2 linked regions of the Schizosaccharomyces pombe genome follow. Changing the gene in region 1 together with any one later gene gives a genetic interaction. Each region holds a gene or a part of one and is shown on either strand. Other genes may lie near its edges.

Region 1 (11,796 bases):
GATCTACTCATATTGAAAGTAACCATATTAACGCAACAGATACACTTACAAAGGGCTTTTTCATGAATATAATTGTTTAATGAATCTTTTCATTAATTCAAAATTTACAAATGTCTGATATTGAGCTGCATGAGTCAGCAATTCCTAAAGAATTGGATTCCCCTGTAACTACCATTGCGCTCTATAGTAAGGCAAGCATCCGGGGCTATATTGCTAACTATTTGATTTTTTTAGATAACCATCTATACTTTGGAACGGAAGGTGGTGATGTATTCCTCTATAATTTTTCAAATTTCCAGGTTTGTGTTTATTCGTGTGTTGCACAGGGTTGTTTGCATTAACACGCGTATTAGTTAAATGAATCACCAGAGCTTGTAAAGAAGATTTCGTTGGTGTCGAAATCTCGTGTAAACCGAATTCTTGCAATGCCTTTTCTTGGCGCAGTTTTTATTCATCATGGTAAGCTATGTGTGGTTTACGATAACTTTGGAATACCAATTAACGGTGGTAGGTAGTTTCGCAGAAGTATACAAGGAAGATGATTTGACTCAGCTTTACCCTTCCATCTCCTTTAAAGGCTTGGTGGAATTCTGTCATCCAGGCCAACGTATTGACGAGAAAAGCACATATTTAATTGTGACCAATACTCATTTAAAGCTCATCTCATTTCAAAAAGATGGAATCATACTAGTCAAAAATGTATGTTAGATGCTAAATTGTTTACTTCATAAAAGCGCTAATTAACAATAAACAAGGAACTTAAATACCCCAATATTCAAACTGCTCGTGTGAATGGTCATATCGTTTGTCTAGTTACCGAAAATTCCTTTGAATTATTGGATATTCTCACCTTTGATACTACTCCCCTCTTTCCCATTATCAAATACGATTCGGAAAATAATGGGCTAATGTACAAACCCATGATTGTTTTGCATTCTAATGAATTTCTCTTGATTACCGGTAGTCCCAAAGATGCCATAGGGCTTTTTGTAGATTCCCAAGGGAATGTCACAAGAAGCACTCTAACTTTTTCATTTTATCCAAAACATGTTTTTTCTACATCTCATTATGTGTTCGCCATTTCTTCTAGTTCGTTACAGATCATCGACATAAATACTCTCAGTCTTGTTAAAAGTATTAATCTGAAGGATGATGAAAGTTTCTCTTTTATTTCTCGATTGACAAGCGTTCATTTTTGTGATCGCCAAATATTTAGTAAATTCTCTGCTGTGAATACTGCGTCTACCTCAAAAACTTCTGATACGATAGAAAGGGCTTCTTTTAGCAAGCCTTCATTTATTTTTCTTACGAATAAATCTTGGGGGTTTGGCGCTGAAGCTCATTTTATGAACAAACTAGAATTCAGTATTACCATAGGCGATATTGAAGCCCCTCTGCGTCGAGTGAGTAAGCGATTGCGGAATCCGAAGAAGTATGGAATAACCAATGATGTCGCTTATCTTCAATCTGCTTATTTGGAGCAAATCTCGGCATTACAGTATTGGAAGCAAGGACAGTATGAAAATTCTCTCTCTTTGCTTGAAACTTCCAAAATTGATCCTCGCGTAGTTATCTCCCTCTATCCAGATCTCTATCATTCGGAGCTTTCCTATATTGCTTTTCAAGGTGTCATTAGTTTTCGCAAAAGCATATTGTCCGTCGATGATACTGTTGCTAATGTTTTAAAATCTAATGAATTGTTTCGTGATACTGATCAATACACTCAGAGACAAATGATTGAAATTACTAAGGAAAACGCATACATCATGTTGATGCGTTATCTGAAAAATTACAAAAAGAACACGAGCATATCTGAGTATCTTTTATCTTCGCAAAGAGACGTGATGCTTGCTGTAGAGCATTCGTTATTACTCCTTTATTTAAATATGGATGATTTAGCCGCCGGTACCAAAAATGCTAAGGAGTTGTTAGAGTCTGGTCTAACTGGTGTTGAAGATATAAAAGATGTGTTGATACAGAAGAAAGAGTATTATTTACTCTCCGTGTTATTGGCTACTGTAAGGGATCACGATGGTGTTCTTCAAACTTGGAAGAAATTAATAACAGGGGATTATGAAGATCGGAGATTCAACGATGGGTTAATTAAAATACGAGAATATTTGGTTAATGATATTGAGCCTTCGACATTCTGGGAATTTACTACATGGCTTTGTAAACACGATGCAACGGAGGGTACGCGCGTTTTGCTTGACAAAACAGTTAGTGGATCCATTTCTGCAGAGGACGTGTTAGAGCATTTGGATTCTTCTCAAGATGATGTTTTGATTGATTACCTTGTAAAGTCGAATTCCGTCACTCATCGAGCGCTACTTTTAAAGTTGTGCGTTAATAAGTTGCTTGGCAGTTTATTGGATCATAACGATTTTAAAAATCGCCTTGAGACTGCCATTGAAACATTTAGGGAGCTTCCTTGCATGGAGAAACCTACGTATGCCCAATACTTGGAACAACTTTGGGGGGACATGAGTGATTTCAGTACTCATCTTTCATTTTACTATTTGTGTTCTATTAATCTGATGGAAAATGTTGAAGAAGAATCTATAGATAAAATAAAAGATATTTTGTTCGACATTCATGTTGACAATTTATATCTATTTCCTCAACTTGAACACTCGTTTTACAAAAGGAAGAAGAATTATGAAAAAGCTTTATCCGTTTTGGTTACGAATATTCATGACTATAAGGGCGGTGAAGCATACTGTCTTCAAATTGATGATGTTTATCCTCAGTGTTGGTGCAATTTGCTCGAAAAATGTATATCAACAGGAGATGGATGTAGTGATTTTATTAAAGAACTATTGTATCGTCGACCCTTTTCTTATACGCTTTCCTACGTGTGCGAGCAAATTCCAGATCATTGGAATCTTAACTTATTAGCAGATTTTTTGTGTATATTGCAAAAAAGAAATGCTGAGCGTTTGAATGAATCCCAAACTCGTTTAACACTTGAGAAGTCGTTGTCTCAAAATTTGGAAGAGTTGTTCATGGCTATTAATCGTCGTAATGTAGCCTTGGGCAAAAACGAAATTTAACCCAGTAACATTTAAAAAGTAACCTTTGGTTCAGCAAAGTTTTTACCTCAATTTTCGATACTTATTCGACTGATGTTTAATTTAATGATAGAATAATTTCAATGAGACAAAAAGATTCTAGCTTCAAAATGTTGTTAGAATATAAAGGGCTTTCTTCTACAGTTAATTCAGCTCTTCCTGATCTTTACTAGTCTTAAAAATATAAATAATATTAACTATGAGCCTAAATTCATCGAATTTTATTTTTAAAAACCCCCTTCGGGAATAAAGAAAGTGTCCGTAACACAACGATGCACTGTTCACTAAGGTCGGAAACCCCGAGGATGAGCTCGGAAGTTCCGCGGGTAGGTAGATTCCCAGGGTGCAGCAAATATTCTTACACTTAGCTTCTACCACTACCCTTCCCAGTGTTATTAAAAGGACGTACGGAAAGCGTCTGAAGCATAATTGATTGCTGGAACAAGTAGAATTAATATGGTAGAGAACGTTAATATTAATAACAAAAGGGCCGGAAAAATGTCTGCCGCCCCAACTCCCCATAACACCCCATCGGGGACGAGCGCTCCCAACTTTGGTGCGAAGGCTCCTCAAGTAAATACTATTGACGAAGGAGATGAGAATTTAGAGGCTATCGACGGAAAATTGGGTTCTTTATTACATCTCACTTCAGAAGGAGTTTCAGAATTGCCTGAAGCCGTGCAAAGAAGGATTTCTGGACTTCGTGGTTTGCAAAAGCGATACAGCGACTTGGAGTCTCAATTCCAAAAAGAGCTGTTTGAGTTGGAAAAAGCTTATGCAAAGAAGTACGCACCTATTTTTAAGAGAAGATCTGAGGTTGTTCGTGGCGCTGACGAACCTACCGAGGAGGAAATTAAGAAGGGTGAAGCTGCCGATGAGAACGAAAAGAAAGAACCTACTTCTTCTGAGTCTAAGAAACAAGAAGGTGGTGATGATACTAAGGGTATTCCTGAGTTCTGGTTGACCGCTATGAAGAATGTTTTGTCTTTGTCTGAAATGATTACTCCCGAAGATGAAGGAGCTTTAAGTCACCTTGTGGATATTCGCATTTCCTATATGGAAAAGCCTGGTTTCAAATTAGAATTTGAATTTGCTGAAAACCCATTCTTTACTAACAAGATTCTCACCAAAACTTATTATTACATGGAGGAATCTGGCCCGTCCAACGTTTTCTTGTATGATCATGCTGAGGGCGATAAGGTTGATTGGAAAGAAAATGCCGATTTGACTGTTCGTACCGTTACTAAAAAGCAACGCAATAAAAACACTAAACAAACTCGTGTCGTAAAGGTTTCCGTTCCTCGTGACAGTTTCTTCAACTTTTTTAATCCCCCAACTCCTCCATCTGAGGAAGACGAAGAATCGGAGAGCCCTGAATTGGATGAATTGTTGGAACTTGACTATCAAATCGGTGAGGACTTCAAAGAGAAACTCATTCCTCGTGCCGTTGAGTGGTTTACTGGTGAGGCTTTAGCTCTTGAAAACTATGACGGATTCAGCGACTTAGATGTTGAAGAGGATGAAGATGATGTTGAATCCTCTTCTAACGAAGAAGTTTCCGATTCCGATGAGGAGGACAGTGATAGCAAGCACACTGCTCATGGCCAGCAAAACGCTGCTGAGTGCCGTCAGCAATAAACAATTTCGATAATGTGCATATATTATGGGGTTAATAACAATGGGTTTTCTGTGTTTTGACTAAAGGAAAGATACTTGAAAAGTATGATTCTTGAGGTTTTCATGCAACATTTGTAAACCTTTTGTTGTACAGGATAGGTTCGGACCACATGTGAGTGCTTGCGGACGAGATTCTGCAAGTTTATAAAGTTTTTAAATATCTTCCAATTTATCGAGTTTTTTTCGTTTATCAAATAAAAATGCTTACAGTCGACGTGTTTTATTTTTTACTGGAATTGGTGGTTTTGAGATGAATGGCTTTAAAAGACCTAAACGACATCGTCTACATAATGGGAGGTGTGATCGTTCTTGGCGAATTTTCCGAGTTTCTAGTTTGAGTACGAAAGCCTTTAAAGATTTTGGAATGCTTATATTTGATCAATCATGATGAAAACGCTCGGACAAACTTGGACGTTTTAATATTTTCTTGCCTTTTTTTTCAATCAAATGCTTGCGAAAAGAACTAGTGATAGTTTTTTATTGTTAGTTTAGACCAAGTTGAAAACACTGACTGTAAAAATTGACCTTTAGTAAAGCTTAAAAAAGAGAACCCTTTTTACGAGCTTTTCTAGAAAATAATGCTTTGTTTTGACTTAGAAGTAAGCAATTGAGAATTCATAGTATGAATGGGTTGCATCCTAGTTAGTCTACTCTACCCAAGAAGTTGGGAAGGTATAACTAAACCCGATGTGTTTACATAAAAGGCTATTTCGAAAGAAATGAGTGTCAAAGTTTATCAAAAATACGATTTGTTTTTTTTTCGTTTTTTTAGACATAAAGAAGCTTGCAATTCTTGGAGTAAGAAGGAAACTAAAAAAATGCGGAGCGCATTGTAAAAGAGTGTTCGGTTGTTATAGTAAGTTCGTCTAGCGTTTAACAGATACCAGTTTTGTTTTTTAAAGTTAGAATCATCAAATAATGGAGATGATTACAATTGGGATGGAGGATTGCATACTACAATTTATCTTAGTCTAAATTTAAAGCATATTTGACATATCTCTTACAACATCTAATATTTTAATTTTAATACTTGCCTTAAATATATTATAGCTTTTATAATTTTCGACTTAGACACTATGCCTGAGTGGTTAAAGGGACAGACTAGAAATCTGTTGCGGTCTCCGCGCGCAGGTTCAAATCCTGCTGGTGTCGAAAATTTTTGGCAATTTTTATATTGAAAATTCTTTATATTCATTTGCAACTTAAGAATGTTTTTAGTATATAATGCAAAGGTCCTAAATAAAACAGCGTCCAATTTGATGGAATGCGTTTAGTTGTATAATATTGTTGCAGCAATTTGGTGGACTCAAAACACTGAAAGTCAATTCAAATTTAACTAAGCTCATGTGATATATCAGATTTGTTTGATTTATTATTTTTCCTCGTAAGTTTTAATAAAATGGATTCTACAAATGATCTATCAAAGGTACAAAGAAATAAAATCCAGCTAGCTACTACTAAAGGAAACAAATAATTTTAAAGTAGGGAAAACACACAAGTTATAGTAAATAAAAAAGAAAGAAAGAATAAATAAATAAATTAGTTGGGATACAAAAATAAAAACACAATTTTTTAATAATTAAATACTAGTAAAGAAAGCAAATACTAGTAAATAGTAAGTAATAATGAATATTCCTCTAAAAACAGCAAGTTGTACACTAAAAAAAAACGGAAAAAGAAAAACATTTCTAGTTGAAAATTTCATTTTTTACGATTTCTTGCTTAAAATTTTGAATTTATTTCTGATTATACCTTTTTCTTCTATATTCAATTTTTTTATTTTATATTTTCTTTCTCTCAAGCCCAATTCTCGTACCTGCTTGCTATTACAAATTTGTCTTTATTTTTTTCTCATCTAATGTTTTTTTTTTCATCTTTCCCGTGACCGTTCAACCCGTTTAATCAACATCCATCAATTTCAATGGTATGATCGATTTCAATCACGAATCCATCAAAGTCGCAATTCATTATAGTGGTGACCTAATCATCCGTTATATATAGTGTGTCTCGTCTGCACTCATTTGTTGGGTTATAGTTTTGCTGGTGAAAATTTTTCCTTCTACCTACATCCTTCGTTCCTTCCTCTACCAACGTCGAAGACTTCGGTTACTAGCTCAACAACGAAATTTAGCTTTTTGAAAAAGCGTTGGATTGACTAAAGTTCCTTTTGATTTTTGTCATCTCATCTCATTCATTTTTTAGGTGGATTTGGCTTGTATCTTTACATTACAGATATTTTTTTTTTAAATTTTTTCTCTTTTCTTTTTTTGATTCTTTAAAGTATGGATATTAAAGGCGGTCGTCGTGGTAATGTCGAGGATAGTTTGAACAAATTATCTTTGTCTCCCCCTGATAATAATTCATCCTTCCTCTCGAATCACTTCCAGGTACGCAAGTCTTACTCCCAAGCTCCTGCTCGTACTTTGAAGCCATTCGCTTCCGAAGACATCAAGATTTTGCTGTTGGAAAACGTTAATCAATCAGCTTTGAGCAACTTGAAGGATGAGGGCTACCAGGTTGAGTTCTTGAAAACTTCTATGAGCGAGGACGATTTGGTTGAGAAGATCAAGGGCGTTCATGCTATTGGCATTCGTTCTAAGACCCGCTTGACTCGTCGTGTCTTGGAGGCTGCCGACAGTTTAATTGTCATCGGTTGCTTCTGTATCGGTACTAACCAAGTCGATTTGGACTTTGCTGCCGAACGTGGTATCGCCGTCTTCAACTCTCCATACGCCAACTCTCGTTCCGTTGCTGAATTGGTCATCGGCTATATCATTAGCTTGGCTCGTCAAGTGGGCGATCGCTCCTTGGAATTGCACCGTGGTGAGTGGAACAAGGTGTCCAGTGGATGCTGGGAGATCCGTGGTAAGACCTTGGGCATCATTGGTTATGGTCATATTGGATCCCAACTTTCTGTTCTCGCTGAAGCCATGGGTTTACACGTCGTTTATTACGATATTCTCCCTATCATGCCTTTGGGTTCCGCCAAGCAGCTCTCTTCTCTCCCTGAACTCCTTCACCGTGCTGACTTTGTTTCTTTACACGTTCCTGCTTCTCCAGAAACAAAGAATATGATTTCCTCCAAGGAATTTGCCGCCATGAAGGAGGGTAGCTACTTGATCAATGCCTCCCGTGGTACTGTCGTTGACATTCCCGCTCTCGTTGATGCTAGCAAGTCTGGTAAAATTGCTGGTGCCGCCATTGATGTTTACCCATCCGAGCCTGCTGGTAACGGTAAGGACAAGTTCGTTGACTCACTCAACTCTTGGACTTCTGAATTGACCCATTGCAAGAACATTATTTTGACTCCTCACATTGGTGGTAGTACCGAGGAGGCTCAATATAACATTGGTATTGAGGTCAGTGAGGCTCTTACTCGTTACATTAATGAAGGAAACAGTATCGGTGCTGTTAACTTCCCTGAGGTCTCTTTGCGCAGCCTTACCGAGGCTGATAGAAATGCTGCTCGTGTCTTGTTTGTCCACAGAAATGTGCCTGGTGTTCTTCGCCAAGTTAACGAGCTTTTTATCGACCACAACATCAAGTCTCAATTCTCCGATTCTCGTGGTGACATTGCTTACTTGGTTGCTGATATTAGCGACTGTACTCCTGGTTCTTTGGAGGCCTTGCACCAAAAGTTGGAATCTTTACCTTGCAAGATTAACACTCGTTTACTTTATTAAGAAGCAGATTGTGTTTCACCAAAAAAAAAGAGAAATACTAACAAAATCCGTTATAATTACTAAATAAATTATACATAATCATTCATCTGAAAAAGCTTTTTTTTAGATTTATCCTTAAAAACTTGTGGGTCGAGTATATTCGCATTTTTCTTTCTCAGAGAAGAGAGAGAAGATTGATGACACTTAATCTTTTTTCTGTCTCTGGTTACCCTTTCATTCTGTCTGTTCATGATGCAGGGGTTTTTAAAAGCATTTTCCATTTCTTTCTGATCTAGTTCAATCTGCATGCATATTTTAAATTGTCTTCATAATAGACATAGGTGGGTGAGTTACACTTCTTCAACGGTTCGTGTGAGATTATATTTAAACACGATTATTTATCACTCAACAATGAATTAATGTTATGTCATCCTTCAACTGATGGCTTACATTGATTTAGTATTGAATATGACCTTAACATATTTGATGTATCTTTAATAAAGGACTAACTTAGATTTCACCTGTTTTGCCTGTTTGATGGTAAAAACAAGTGTCAACTCGTAAATAGTTGGTCCGGTTTATGATTCAATAAAATTTTTAATGCTCTTATGAATAACTATTGTAAGTGCTGATATTCAATCAGTATCCTGCATGATTGGATATGGTAAAAACAATATAAACAAAAGTGCCGTAGTGCAATTTTTTGGAAAGTAATTAGTGGTTTCGATACCGTTTGAAACTTGTGTGCATACGAATAATAAAATTCGATAATATTGGAATTTTTAGTCCGCTTTATCTGTTCCATGATACTGTTACTTACATATATGCAAGACGCTATTTTCTCATAGTCTGTTTGTTTTTTAAGTATATCAATCTTTCTTATTATATTCCATAGACACTTTCGCACATGACTCTCCAGGGACTCCGCGATATGGGTTGTGAGCATCGTGAAGCTGAATTCAACCAACAACTTAGATTCTTACAATATTCGTAAGCCAGAATGCCAAAACAGCTATATTTCTCCAAGTTTCCTGTTGGAAGTCAAGTTTTTTATCGTACTAAGGTAAGTTAACGGTCTCATGTGTGTAGATATTGGTGTTTGCAAACTTTTGTTTGTCATTCTTATTTATTCTATAACGGCAGACAGTTTGTGATTTTTCTTTGGTTGAGGTCAGCTGCTAACGATTTTAGTTATCTGCCGCGTTTGTAAACCTGAAACCAATTTTACCAGGTCATGTTTTGGTAATTCCGCAACGGGCGGTCCCTAGATTGAAAGATTTGACACCTTCAGAGGTAGGATTCTTATGCTATTCGAAAAAATAATGGAATCTGCATACGCTAACTAATGAAAACTTAGTTGACGGATTTGTTTACTTCTGTTCGCAAAGTGCAACAGGTAATCGAAAAGGTGTTTTCGGCATCTGCATCAAACATTGGTATTCAAGTAAGTACTTTGATAGTCAAGGAATAAATAAAAAAACATATTCCTTTTCACATTCAAAATAAAAAATCGTTTTAATTTAGAAGCTGACATTTTGCTTTTAACTCAATAGGATGGTGTAGACGCTGGTCAAACAGTTCCTCATGTACATGTTCACATTATCCCTCGTAAAAAGGCAGATTTTTCAGAAAACGATCTAGTCTACAGTGAGTTGGAAAAAAACGAAGGAAATCTTGCTTCCCTTTATCTTACGGGAAATGAGCGGTATGCAGGAGATGAGAGACCGCCAACCAGTATGAGGCAAGCTATTCCTAAGGACGAGGATCGTAAGCCAAGAACACTTGAGGAAATGGAAAAGGAAGCTCAGTGGTTGAAAGGGTACTTTTCCGAAGAGCAAGAGAAGGAATAAAAAGTTGAAGTACCTCAATACCACAGGGGTAGTGTTTACGTATGAATTAAGCTAAATATTATATGACCCTTTTTTTTTATTTCACCCAAGGTTACAAGAAAAATTTCCTTTTTTCTCTCTACCCTGCTTACATTGCATCTGTCTGCTGAGCTTTAGCAACACAACGTAACCATACATATTGTGATGAACCCTTCTACAATTCGATCGAATTAGCTTCAGTTCCCTATTTTGATTTTGCTCTCTTTCTTTCATCCTTTCCTCATAACCCTACTAGATATCCATCTTTTTGAATTCAAGAATTGAATACGCTAATCCACTTTATACGTCGCAATTGTAAATAATCATACTTTAATAACACCCTAAACTACTTTAGTGCTCTTTGCTCGCCATTATCTCAAAATTTCTTTTATCATAATTTAACGTTTCCTTATTTTTTTTTGGTAGTTCGTTGCAATTCATAATAGTTGTTGTCATCAACCCGTCACCCTCATCAATGTTGCCCCAGTAGTTATAATTGAAATTTCTTACAGCCTCAATTTCTCCAATTCTTCCATTTCGCCAATATTTTACATTTATAAAAGTATCTACGTTTTCCTTTTTATTCCTTAACCAAACTCTTTTGAAACCTATCCTTGTTAATTGTTGAATCGTATAGTTTGTTATCCACGATTCATCTTACTTGCAGACAATTCTTTCAATTTAGAAACGGCTTGCGTAATTTTTATTCTAAATTGATTCTTGACTCAATTTATTTCTACAGGAAGTGTTACATTGTGAATTGAATCTAATTTTCGCCTTCTAAATTATTTCTGATATTTACCTAATTATTCTACTTTTTGTGTGCATAAGGCCTTACAGTTGAGACACGTTTCGTCTGATTTGGCTATTTTAATAAGGAAATAAAACATTCTTTAAGGAGTGTTTTTTTTTTTTTGGTTTATTTGATTTCTCTTGTTCTTCAAAGTGAGCGTGTCTACGCGTTTACGCTTCAAAACCGGGATGACGGTGGACAATAGGTGCTCCAACTCCAGCCTGTGTTTAAGGAATGTGACTCCTAAACAACATCCTGCTCGTGTTTGTTCAAATCATTGGCAGTTGAAAAACCTCATTTCTACTCAAAATACCGGCGAAGAGTCCAATCCAATCTACTATACCAACAGCGTATTTGTTTGGAAAATATACCCAAATTCGGAGAAGGTCGTTCAGGTGGGCCAAGGGCTCAGTTTTAAACCGCTGAGCTTGCTAGGAAAATGCGGATACATCGCTGCAGGTGGCCAACTTGGTGAATTTGATTACTGGTCTCCAACTTCAAAACAAACTCACATGAAGCTTTGTGACCAACATAACAATGGCATTGAAATTCATCGACGCAACTGTGATTCTCATGCTGAAGCACTTATATCTAGTAATGATCACACGATAAAAGTCGTTGATTTGGAGCATGGTCTCCTTCGCAAGCAATTGCACTTTCCAGTCAACATGAATCATGCATCTGTCAGCAATGATGGCCGTTTTATGGTTTGTGTTGGCGATTCT
Region 2 (11,824 bases), on another chromosome or scaffold:
ATTTGAAAATTTAGCACAACAGTATTTTACCGATGGTGTAGAGATGCGCAGTGTTCGTAAATCCTCTGATTTACGTCGCAGCTTGAGTGCAGCCAGCCTTTCTAGTCTTTCAGATAGCTCTAGAAGAAGTTCATCAGCGGCGAATCCTTTTCAGAGCATGAGCATCACGGAATTTGCAGAAATGTTGACGAATATATATTTTTCATCATTGGAATGTCTGCGTCGCATTCGCAGCCAAATAAAAGTTTTAATAGATATTTTATCGAAAAAAGATACTAAACAATATCACCTATCTGTGATTCTTAATGATTTAATGGCCACGAGTTCCGATGTTGTTACACAACAAGTGACAACTATTAATAATCTTCGATTTCGAGTCTTGGATACTTATCCTCCTAATAATGTTATATACCTTTTTTCTTTACACATAATTTTTCATAATGAGCTTGAAAGTCTTTGCGGAATCACACAAAGCTCATTTATTCCAACTATAATGAGGCAATTACTGGACTGGTTTAAAAATTTTCAACGATATTCTACTCAGAAATTGGCATCAAGCTTTGAAAGGGAGCTATGGGAAGCGATACCTGTTGAACCATCCTGTCAAGATCTAGCTAATCGCGTGTTTGAATGCTCCGGTAATACTCCCGTAGAATGGACGCGACTATTATCTCCTGAAGCAGAAAAAGAAGATGAAAATCATAGGGTTCACCATGTAAAAGTTTCAGAGGACTGTACTGCTACGGTTTCGTTTGGAAAACAATCATTACATATTGTTCGGTCCTCTGTTACGTTGTTAGAAACATTGGATGATTATGGTAAACTTCTTGCTCACTTTTCAAGATTGGCTCCAGAGTTTCAGACTGGTATGCTAGATATGTTTCGTACACTCAATTCTCGGGTTTATCAATTAATATTGGGAGCGGGGACAGTGCGGTCGTCTGGCCTTAGTAAAGTACTTGGGAAGCATATTGCACTTGCCTCTCAAACTATCGCATTGTTTCAATTATCCCTTAATTCAATGTGCAGGTACTTGTCAAGAGTAACAGGAACTCGACTCACCAATGAAACTAATAAGTTGGATCAAGATTTCACCGTTCATCACTTACAAATTCATGATAAGTTTGTTAGTCTCATGAGGGAACGAGTTGCTATCAGTTGTTCCCAGATTGCTTCTCTTTCGTGGGATATTGACAGTCCTCATGGATACATTATTGATCTTTCAAAAAGTCTTATAAAGCTCTACAAAGTTTTACATCGCTACTCACAACGTGACTGTGTAGAAGTAATACCAGATGTAATTCGGATGTTCGAAGATAGACTGCAGTTGGAACTTACGGATATTGCAAGAAATCCATCCAAATGGCCAGGCGTTCGTATTGATTTGTCCTATTTTTATGACATGATGGCATCTAAATGCGGATATGCAGGAGACCGGACTTTATTGGAAAAATTTGAACGTACTCCGGAACAGCAGGAAGCGGCTTAAACATTTGTTTCGTCGTTTTTTGTAATCTATTTTAGTTCTTTTCTTGACAGGTATTTTGGTTATCTGCTTTTGTGCTCGAGTTACCGTCATATTCTTTGGAATTTTACATTTTGGTTTAACAATTTACTAACCTGAATGAATTCTAAGAATCCAAAAATTTTGTTGCAAGTTATGAACCAAGCAGCTTCTCTATAAAATTCTCCATTCTATCGATAGTTCTAGTATTCACAATGACGAATACAAATTCACTTATGACTACTAATCGGCCAGTTTTGATTTAGAGTATTACTCATTTAATTCGGAAATCTCATGGGAGCGTAATGTTTTCGACCGATTTAATTTCTTTTCATCTTCTCTCATTTATTATTGTTTTTATCACCTTTATTCAATTCCTTATGAAAATACTCATAATTGATTTAAGTGTATCAGTCAAATTCCTTGCTATATTGAGTAACTTGTTACTTTGGTAGTAATAGATTAGATATATTGGCTTGCACCTAAAGCCTGAAGTAACCTTTTCAATCTTTTGGTACAATGAAATTAGGCAGATTTTTAGAAAACGGAAGGGAGCAAATACGAAATCTCCTCTTAAATGCTTCGACTGTATCGTCTGCCCCGTCTTTTAGCTTTGTTAGTGGAAATGAATCAGCAGGTACATTAGTCGTAATAGACGAGAATTAACAATTCGTCTTAGATCTTGACAGTTGCGCTAGTTCAATCGTATATGCGTATTGCCTGCAAAGAAAACAGCTGGGTAGGATTGTAGTACCTTTTTTTAACATTCCTCGAAAGGAGCTACGTCTTAGGCCTGAACTGTCTTATTTGTTGAACTTAGCATCAATATCTTCCGATGATATTGTCTTTTTAGATGATATTGTAAAATTACCAAAAAGAATATTCAGTAATCCTATTTATTTAGTTGATCACAATTCTTTGGACCGTAAAGACCTAGAAAATTTCAACGGCAGTATCGCTGGTATTATAGATCACCACAAAGATGAAGGGGGATCCTTACATGCTGATCCAAGAATCATTGAGGAATGCGGTAGCTGCTGTACTTTAGTTTGCCGATATTTTATGCCTGTCATTAGATCTCTATATGATTCCAAAGTATCTGAACTTCACCAAACAGCAACCAACCTTGCTGTTTTGGCACTTGGCCCTATTTTAATTGATACTGGAAATTTAAAAAATGAAAAGACTACTGATACCGATGTTAAAATAGTAAATGACTTATGCTCATTTGTGCCAAAAGATTGGGTTCGAGATGAGTTTTTTGATACTCTGAAAGAGAAAAAGAAGAGCTGTAAGGGTTTTTCTTTTGATGATCTACTACGCAGGGATTTAAAACAGTATTTTCCGGACGGAATAGTCGTCAATTATGCCAGTGTTGGAAAGGGATTAGATTGGATCAAGAAAAAACGTCTCGGATGGGAAGATGAATTGAAAAGTTTTGCCGAAGTGCAAAATTCTGATTTGGTAATTGTTGGGTTATCTCTGAGTAAGAACGACGAGTTTGGTCGTCAATTGATTTTATACAAGCGTACTGAAAGGGGAGCTGGTCTTGCCGATTCTTTCTTAAAACTTAGCAAACAAAATTTAGGATTAGAAATTATTGAAGAGAAAGATAATGGCGACCTCAGTATGTGGAATCAAAGAAATTCCGCTGCTAGCAGAAAGAAAGTAGTTCCCTTACTTATGGACTCAGTTAAACAAGTCGCTTCAAAATAGTTACTGCTTTAGACTCCATTGTGATTTCTGTTCTGTACATTTTACGATAGCTACACTCATCAGTAGGCTTATGATAGATTTTAAATTTTTTTAAAAGGATATATATTATACATCACATTGATCTAAATTTCTTACTTTGTAATCCCAAGATCCTTTTATTCAAAAAAATCACTGTCATCTGATTGATTATTTTGTAGTTCATCGTGGTAAATAGACTTGTTTGAAGAACTCTCTTCTTTTAATCGGTCGATTGCTGAACTCTTGAGCAACCGAAATTCTAGGAGTGAAGTTTCAAAATCATCTTTATTACCTAAATCAGCAAATCCGATAATCTTATCCACGAGCTGAGAATTTACGTAGCAAAGTACGGCTGGTAATACTTTGAGACCCAATTTGACTACCAAAAATGGAGCGTTGGCTGCTTCAATACGGATAAACTTAGTTTCCCAATGTACTTTGGCAATTTTCTGAGAATGTTAGCGTAAGCAATAAATGGAACTCCTCGTACCTCTAGATGAGAGTCTATAATTTTGCAACGTATAAAATCAGGGTGGTAAAAATGTATAACAACTTTTTTTGATGAACTAAAAAATAATTAGTTTAAAATAATCGAAGCTAATGTTTTGACATACAGCGTAAAATCCATAACTTCGCGCTCATTTTCTACAGTAAGAAACTGCATGTGTCCTTTTTCTTTTGCAGCTTCCACTCTAGCGAATCTGAACGGTTAAATTCTTAAAATCATTTTAAAGCTTTTTCTTACTCTTTTTTTAGCATCTCCAATCTCTGTTCTCGATAAGCAGTATCATCAAATTCATCCAACTGTGAAAAGAGCGCATCTTCCAATTCTGAATCACTTTCGGTTGCAGCTTGAGTAGCATACGTATCAGCGTAAAGATCAACTGTTGGGTCGTTACTAATGTCAACATTAGACATAATATGTACGCTACTGTAACCTACCTATTATGCAGTTCTGGTTCATTGTAATCCTGAGTATCCTCCTTTCTTTCAGTAACCTTCAAAGCTTCATACTCGTTGGCGATTTCCTTTTCCAAAGGAGATTTCATAGAAATCCAAGCAGGCTTGTTTTCTACAGGCTGAACGTTTGTCAAATCCATTTGATAACCACGTTTACGCGGCCCAAATCCATGGGATGCTGGAAAAGATGTCATATAAATTTCTTCAAATTTTCTAACATCTTCATCAAAGTTTCCCTCTTGTATGGAGGCGCGGATTCCTTGAAAAAAGGCAGTGAAGGCATAAACATTGTGTCTACAAATCGTTAGCTTTCTTTACCATGCTCTTTAATATAAACATACAGCTGTAAAAGTATCCAAGCAACTAGCTCTCTAGCCTGTAACAGATGCCTAACATAAGCGCGTTTGTATCTACGACATGTTTTGCAAACGCAGCCGGATTGCAATGGTTCCATGTCAGTAGCAAACCTTTCGTCCCACATATCCAAGCCAAGTTCAATTTTAGAATTCAACACATCTTTAGAAGGAGGCGGGAAAGAGAATGTAAGTGCAACACCAGCATCAGTAGCTTGTGTTATCATATCTGGAACAATAATGTCAATTCCTCTTTGAATGCATTTCAGAATTTCGAGTGGTGATTCAAATTTTTGAATACTCAGTCTTGGGAGACCAACCAAATCAGCTGGTAATGGATTGACATTGTTAGAAAATGCCAAGCCAGCAATGTTGTTAGCAAGTTGATTTTCTTGAAAAAACTGGAAAATAGGCGTAAGGTACTGAGTGTCCAGATCAGGAACAGGGAAAAATACTTTAGTAGTATTGAAAGCGTCCGTCGCTTTGAGTGCTAAAAGCAACTCAGTTGTCCAATTGACAGACCGTTCCACAATTTTTGGCTTCCTTTTGACACCAGGAGGACTAGTTGGGGTATCATTTAAAGGAATTACTAATTCAGGACAAAGCTTTAGGACAGCTTTAATATACAAGTCATTTGTCAGTTTCTTTGCACCACTTGCAGTAACGATATTAATATGACTTTGTCCTGCAGAAACAGATGGCAAAGGAGATGTTCTTCTTGGAGCAAGTAAAGTAGGTTGGACAGAGGGTGCTGCGATCCATTTTTTGATAGTTCCCTCATTAGTCAAGATTGGTGAGGCTTCCAGACGATCCAAGCTACAAACATATTAGTTAGAAATTCAAATTAAAAAAGATATGATAAAGCATTTGAGTCCTAAATTTAAACCTTACCAATCCTCCAACCCTACATAGAGAGCAGGAATATCGAATTCTTCAACATTGTCAGGTGTCAAATGAGGAACAGTTCCTCTGGAAGTAGGAAGGAAAAAGCAAGGAGTCTTCAGAACCTTGTTCTTCACCGTAACTGAAGATACGCGAGCCCCTGAAGGACTAGATAATGAAGAAATTGCCATCAATAAATCGCAAAATAAAGCTGCAAAAGTTTTGCTCTATTTACACATGTACGATATCAAAATAACGATGGTTCACTGTAGCACATTAAACGAATATTGCTATATGAATGTTTTTTAAATTTGAAAGATATTCAAACACAAAAGGTCGTCTAAACATTCGATTTATAATGTTGTAAAATAGCTTTGTTTGGATATCAGTAGTCTTACAAAACTGAAAGTTTTTAGTTAAGTAAAAAAAAAAATATCATTACATAAATTATAGTAAATTGTTTAGACTTTTTTTAAAGTTTTAAAGTAATAATAAAACATGCAAACAAGAAAGAAACAATGGAATAAAAACATTAATAACGGATAATTTTGCGACGGCGGAAGTCCTTTTCATCTGAAGCGATGTCATATAACGCTCTTCGTTTCATTTCTTTTTTCTCTTTTGTTCTTCGTTTCATTTGCTCCATCTCTTTCCTGGTATATCGCTTGTTTCTCCGTTCTGCCAGTAAACTTTGGCCATTGTGACTATTCAATGAAGAATTGATGTCAAAGTACTGTTCCATATGCTTATGTGCTTTGTTTTCTTCACTTCGCAACTCTGGTGAAGCCCATTTTGGCATAAACTTTCCAGATAGGCGATTGAACTGAACTTTCGCTGTGTAATCTAGGGGACTAGTCTGCTCTTCATCTTCTAACGGATTATTCCAGCTCGTCGTATTTGTTAAAGTGTCCCAAAAATAGTAAGCCTGTTGAGAAGGGTCCCAAATAGCGGCTATCCGATGACCCTCGGACCAAGCAATGGAAGGCTGTGCTTGGTTTTCATTTGTAGGGGAGTTAGAAGTATCATTTTTTGATGTTTCGGAAACTGTTTCGTCAGATAAAGGAGATTCTTTATGGCAATTTGTTTCAGGAACTGGTTCATTTGGTAAAGGTGGCTCCCCTGGTAATGGTTCCTCAGGAACTGGTTCATCTGGTAAAGGTGGTTCCCCTGGTAATGGTTCCTCAGGAACTGGTTCATTTGGTAAAGGCGGCTCCCTTGGCAATGGTTCCTCAGGAACTAACTCATTTAACAAGGGCTTTGATGCTTCAGAGGTTGGTTCATTTTTAGAAATACTCTCCAGATTTTCATATGTTTGAGTTGATTCAAAAGTGTTTTTAGGAGTATTTTCAGAAATAAATGAATTATCGGCATCCTCTCCAACTTGGGTATAATGTTTTCCTTGAATATTGGAGTTTTCGCTATTAGAACTGCTCGTATTCGATGAAATAAAGTCACCACTGTTCACGTTTGATGCAGGAATTGTTTGATCGACATTGCTAGTAGCTTTGCAATCTTTAGAAGACGACATTTTTTTATCAGTATGAAGAAATAATTATTATACAAAATACCGGGGACATTCAATTGCACATAACAAATAAATGGGATTTACAGCACAAAAAATAAGTACTGGAATGTAATCTAAATGGCTGAATTAAAGTAATTACAAGCAACACTATATGTTGCTGCTCTGGCGCAAGTTAACAACAAAAATTAATATTTCTGAATAACGTATCTTTGCGAAATACCACGAGTTCTAACTATATCTACTTTAAATGGATTAAGGCTCCACAGTGCGATTCAATATAACATTAATTAAAATGCACTTGGCCTGTTCATTGATGGCCAAAAAATTAAATATAATTTGGTGAATTTAACTCCTATATAAAAGTTTTGTTTTTTCAAGCCTAAGGATATCGTTGAAGCTATTGCTGTGGATTACCGATGTTAGACTAAATAATAGTTGACACCAATTCGATTTATTAACAGTTTATAAACTTTCTCCCTACATAGTCTTCTTTCTTCGATAATTACTTTAACACATATAAAATGGAATTGTAAATATACTAAACGAAACGATAAGACATAGCCAAACTATGAAGGAATTATGCATATAGCATTTGAATAAATTAAATACTGAAAGCTAAAAGAGCTGCTATAGAGTACAAACTCAGATTCTTATATCGCACCTGTGATGAATAAATGTTTGAAGAAGCGATTTTTATTAACGAAAATATAACATAATAAAAGAGCTTATTTTTTTTGCTTTGCTTTAAGATATTAGAAGTACTCTACTTTTACCCCATATTAAATGTTGAATAAGAAGATATGGTTTTCGCATTTGAAAGCACAACGTCCATGTCTTTTCGATTAAGATTCATTAAGTATTATTGGTGAATATAATTGAGTGCAAGGGACTCTCTCGCTGAATTTACCATATGCAAATATATCATAAATCCACAGAAACCAGTATAGGATGTCCGTTGAATAAGGAAAATTTTATTTAAGTCTAACTCTGATAATACGTTTTGTATGTCAGTCAATTGAATATAAGTGCAAATTTTTATTTTTTTAATGACCTATTTATTGTAATAAAATCACGTTTCTTTGTTAAAATTGCACAAATTGAGTAAGCTATATAAATATTTAGAATTGAATATATACATATGAAAGCAAACATTTGGTCGTAGGATCCTTGTACACTTGAATTTCTATGATATTTTATTATTTCATATTAATTATGCTTACGTTTTGGAATTTTTATAAAAAATTATATCGTACTGGTAGTAGCCGTTTGTACGATCATCTACCTTTTTATTTTTTAATTTCATTAAACAAATTTAATTTATTTGTTTGCATTTTTGAAAAAAAAAACTTATAAAAAATCAATTATGCTCATTTAGCTTTTTGCAATGATTTTTTTTTTTTTTAAACATTTAGTTTAACTAATGAGACTATTATTTAAACAATATTGCACCAAATTTATGTCAAAATCATCACTCTTAAAATTGAATAAACAACAGGAACAGAATTCCATGAGTTATTCATCTTGAAGCTCTTGACCTAACCTTGTTCTTTCTAAAACCAAGCATTTTTGTTTAATTTTTAAAAAAATATTATTGATTAATTTAGCTTTGCAAACAATTTGCACACAATAGATTTTGAGAGGCTGAATATGAATTTTTAATGTTTTGAAGACTGGCGTTCTACTAGAACGTCCAATGTGATAACGTTATACTTATGAAAGGATGTAAAACTTCTATATACAGTAAAATAATATATTCCCTCCTACCTTACATGTAAGGGTTGCATATTATTGATTATTTTACTTTGTATTCTTTAGACTCACGGAAAACACTAATTTATGGTAGAATATTAATTTCTCATAAATAATATTATTTTAAACGATTCAAAACTAATAGAAAAGCTCAGACTTGCCTTTATCTAGTCGACATTTGATTCCTTTGGTTTACTATCGCCAATGGCAATTTCCAAGGATCCATGCGGATTACCAGATTTATCTTCATCGCTTTTTAAAATGTTAAATATGAACTTAATATAATTCAGATGAAAAGGTTTAATCCAATAATATTATATGAATTGAGAATAACTGGTTGGACTTAGTTAATAGTTAAAAGACCATCTTAGCAAATGGGGAAGAGAAAATGGCTAAGAGTTAAGCATTGAATAAATACATTATTTACTTTGATTTCTATAAAACAAGCTGATATTCATCATAGCCTCAAATTACTTATTATTTTAAGTATGGTGTGGTAAAGGAATTGAGTCGCGCGCGTTTATTTCTATTTCTACTACACACCAACAACGAAGTTTACCTATCGCCCCTTGATTAAACTAGTGGACTTGCAAACTACTTCATTCATTGTCATAGAAGAGGAAGAACTAATTTATTTCTGTCTTTATTAAATTTCGAGATAATTGGTGTTTTTAACAATGTACATTTTGAATTGATAGATCAAAGAAATCAGGAGTGCAACTAAAAGAAAATTACGGTATATTTTTTTAAGCTGCAAGAGTTGATACTTAAAAGTATTTCCTAATTTTGTGGATACTCATATTTTGTACATTTACGTTTCAATAACATTTCTGCAACCGACTTATTCACAAATCTCTGGTTAGATTTCTCTATTGATTGAAAAGGTTTGTCTCACGTTCACCCTTCATAGTTTAGCGGTGAAAAAAATCTCCACTCTGAAAATTGTCCTTTCTTCATTTATTAGATTGCATGATTTATTTCACTGGATTTAACTAGCTTGTCTTGGCAGCTTACCTTTTATTTCCCTTGTACGATTTTTTTCCGGTGAAGTTGTATTTATTGTTACATAAAAACACATTTGGCCGTACTTTAACGATTAATTTCTTTTCTTTTATTCCCATCGAATTTTCGCTCACAGATTGCGTGTAATTCTCTTCATTGTTTAGGAATATTCCTTTTTTTATTTTTTATTTTTTTTAACCCTGTTAAATGTCATACTCGAAGAGTACAATTTATCGCCGACAAGGCACAGAACCAAATAGCCACTTTCGGCGTACCGTCGAAGAAAAGTCTCAGCTTTCTGGTACAAATGAGGAGTCTTTAGGAGGCCACACCCTGTCCTCTAATGCTTTCAAAAATAATTCATCTAGTATATCGCCATCCTCATCTGCGAAGGATCCTCGAGAACAGCGGAAAAGAACATTTCCTCTCAACGATACACATTCTTCCCGAGCAAGACAGCATGAAAGACCTTTTCGTTCTCGAAAATCTAGAAGGAGAAAGGGTAAAAAGGCATTCAGTCCTAGACCTGGCTCACCTCCATCACCTTCCTTTTACCGCTCAGGTAGTCAAAAACGAGCACGTAATTTAACTACCAAGGATTACTTTGCCAAACGCTCTGAAAGCTCTTCTAGCGCCTCCGTCTCACCTATATCACCGTCCGCAAACAGAAATGATTCAAAAAGGCAAGCTTCTTCTTTTCGAAGGTCTCCGCCTAGTTCTGTACATATGAAGCCTTCAGCTTTTAACGGTCGAAAGGTATCGCGGAGACCTTCATCTTCTCCTCCCCCTATTCCTTCTATCCCTCATGAAACTACTTCCTCCGATACACAAAAAAAATCTAGCGTGTCTTCTGGCTTTCCAGAGAACAAACATGGAAAATTTCACTTTCATATACCTAATGAACGCCGATCTCGATTCGATCAACCTCCTTCGAAACGTATGGCACTCACGTCCACGGCCCGTGAGTCTGTTCCAGCTCCTCTTCCTTCTCCTCCTTCCGGCCCAATTTATACATATACATATCCAAAGCCTGCCTATGAGAAAATCGACCAAATTGGAGAAGGAACTTATGGTAAAGTATACAAAGCCATTAACACAGTCACAGGAGATTTGGTAGCTTTAAAACGGATAAGGCTGGAGCAGGAAAAGGATGGTGTAAGTATAAAAATCAAGCTCGTAACTAAATTGACTAACTTTCTAGTTCCCTATAACTACTGTCCGTGAAGTCAAAATCTTGCAGCGTTTGCGTCACAAAAATATTGTTCGGCTATTAGAAATTATGGTGGAAAAAAGTACGATTAAATACTGTCCTCATTCACCGTTTAATTATAACTAGTTCTAACATTTTAAAATTCTAGGTTCTGTATATATGGTATTTGAGTACATGGATCACGATTTAACTGGAGTCTTACTAAATTCACAATTACATTTTACTCCCGGTAACATAAAACACCTTTCGAAGCAAATTTTTGAAGCATTAGCTTATCTTCATCATCGTGGGGTGCTTCATCGTGACATTAAAGGTTCTAATATATTACTGAATAACAATGGTGATCTAAAATTCGCAGATTTTGGTCTGGCGAGATTTAATACATCTTCGAAGTCGGCTAACTACACTAATCGCGTTATTACCCTTTGGTTTCGACCTCCAGAGCTATTACTTGGAGAAACTGCATATGACACAGCCGTGGACATATGGAGTGCTGGCTGTATTGTTATGGAGTTGTTTACAGGAAAACCTTTTTTTCAAGGGCGAGACGAAATCAGTCAGTTAGAGGTTATCTATGATATGATGGGTACCCCTGATGTTCATTCTTGGCCTGAGGTGAAAAATCTTCCTTGGTATGAGCTTCTGAAGCCAGTAGAGGAAAAGAAGTCGCGTTTTGTTGAAACTTTTAAGGAGATTTTAAGTCCTGCCGCCATTGACCTATGCCAAAAACTCCTTGCCCTAAATCCCTTTTGTAGACCGTCAGCTCATGAGACCTTGATGCATGAGTATTTCACTTCTGAGAGCCCACCTCCAGAGCCAGCAGTCATGTAAGTATAAAATTTATCGTTGAATGATATTTATCTAACTTATGTGTTTAGTTTGAAAAACATGCAAGGAAGTTGGCA

What was found.
Region 2: mutations in aph1 (region 1) and ppx1 together harm fitness more than expected from each alone (negative genetic interaction), as found in Schizosaccharomyces pombe (one large-scale study listed by BioGRID).

The regions. Positions count from the first base shown.
Region 1 is NC_003421.2:467,303-479,098, reverse strand, and holds aph1 (bis(5'-nucleosidyl)-tetraphosphatase), read left to right. Parts: upstream 1-9,371; 5' UTR 9,372-9,410; coding exon 9,411-9,473; exon of another isoform or gene 9,474-9,601; coding exon 9,602-9,703; exon of another isoform or gene 9,704-9,767; coding exon 9,768-9,854; exon of another isoform or gene 9,855-9,963; coding exon 9,964-10,260; 3' UTR 10,261-10,776; downstream 10,777-11,796. Other genes in the region: GTPase regulator Vps3, read left to right, coding at 111-186, 235-299, 354-459, 512-699, 756-3,053; histone H2A-H2B chaperone Nap1, read left to right, coding at 3,528-4,709; D-3 phosphoglycerate dehydrogenase Ser3, read left to right, coding at 7,031-8,431; SPOM_SPCC4G3.03 (WD40/YVTN repeat-like protein), read left to right, coding at 11,260-11,796. UniProt on the Schizosaccharomyces pombe protein: Asymmetrically hydrolyzes Ap4A to yield AMP and ATP.
Region 2 is NC_003424.3:3,944,555-3,956,378, forward strand, and holds ppx1 (exopolyphosphatase), read left to right. Parts: upstream 1-2,000; 5' UTR 2,001-2,023; coding exon 2,024-2,141; exon of another isoform or gene 2,142-2,183; coding exon 2,184-3,220; 3' UTR 3,221-3,375; downstream 3,376-11,824. Other genes in the region: GARP complex subunit Vps54, read left to right, coding at 1-1,489; plp1 (thioredoxin domain-containing protein), read right to left, coding at 3,376-3,687, 3,729-3,804, 3,853-3,939, 3,984-4,136, 4,181-4,392; qtr2 (queuine tRNA-ribosyltransferase accessory subunit Qtrtd1/Qtr2), read right to left, coding at 4,503-5,367, 5,443-5,624; splicing-associated factor Saf2, read right to left, coding at 5,966-6,961; P-TEFb-associated cyclin-dependent protein kinase Lsk1, read left to right, coding at 9,917-10,864, 10,911-11,001, 11,068-11,746, 11,798-11,824.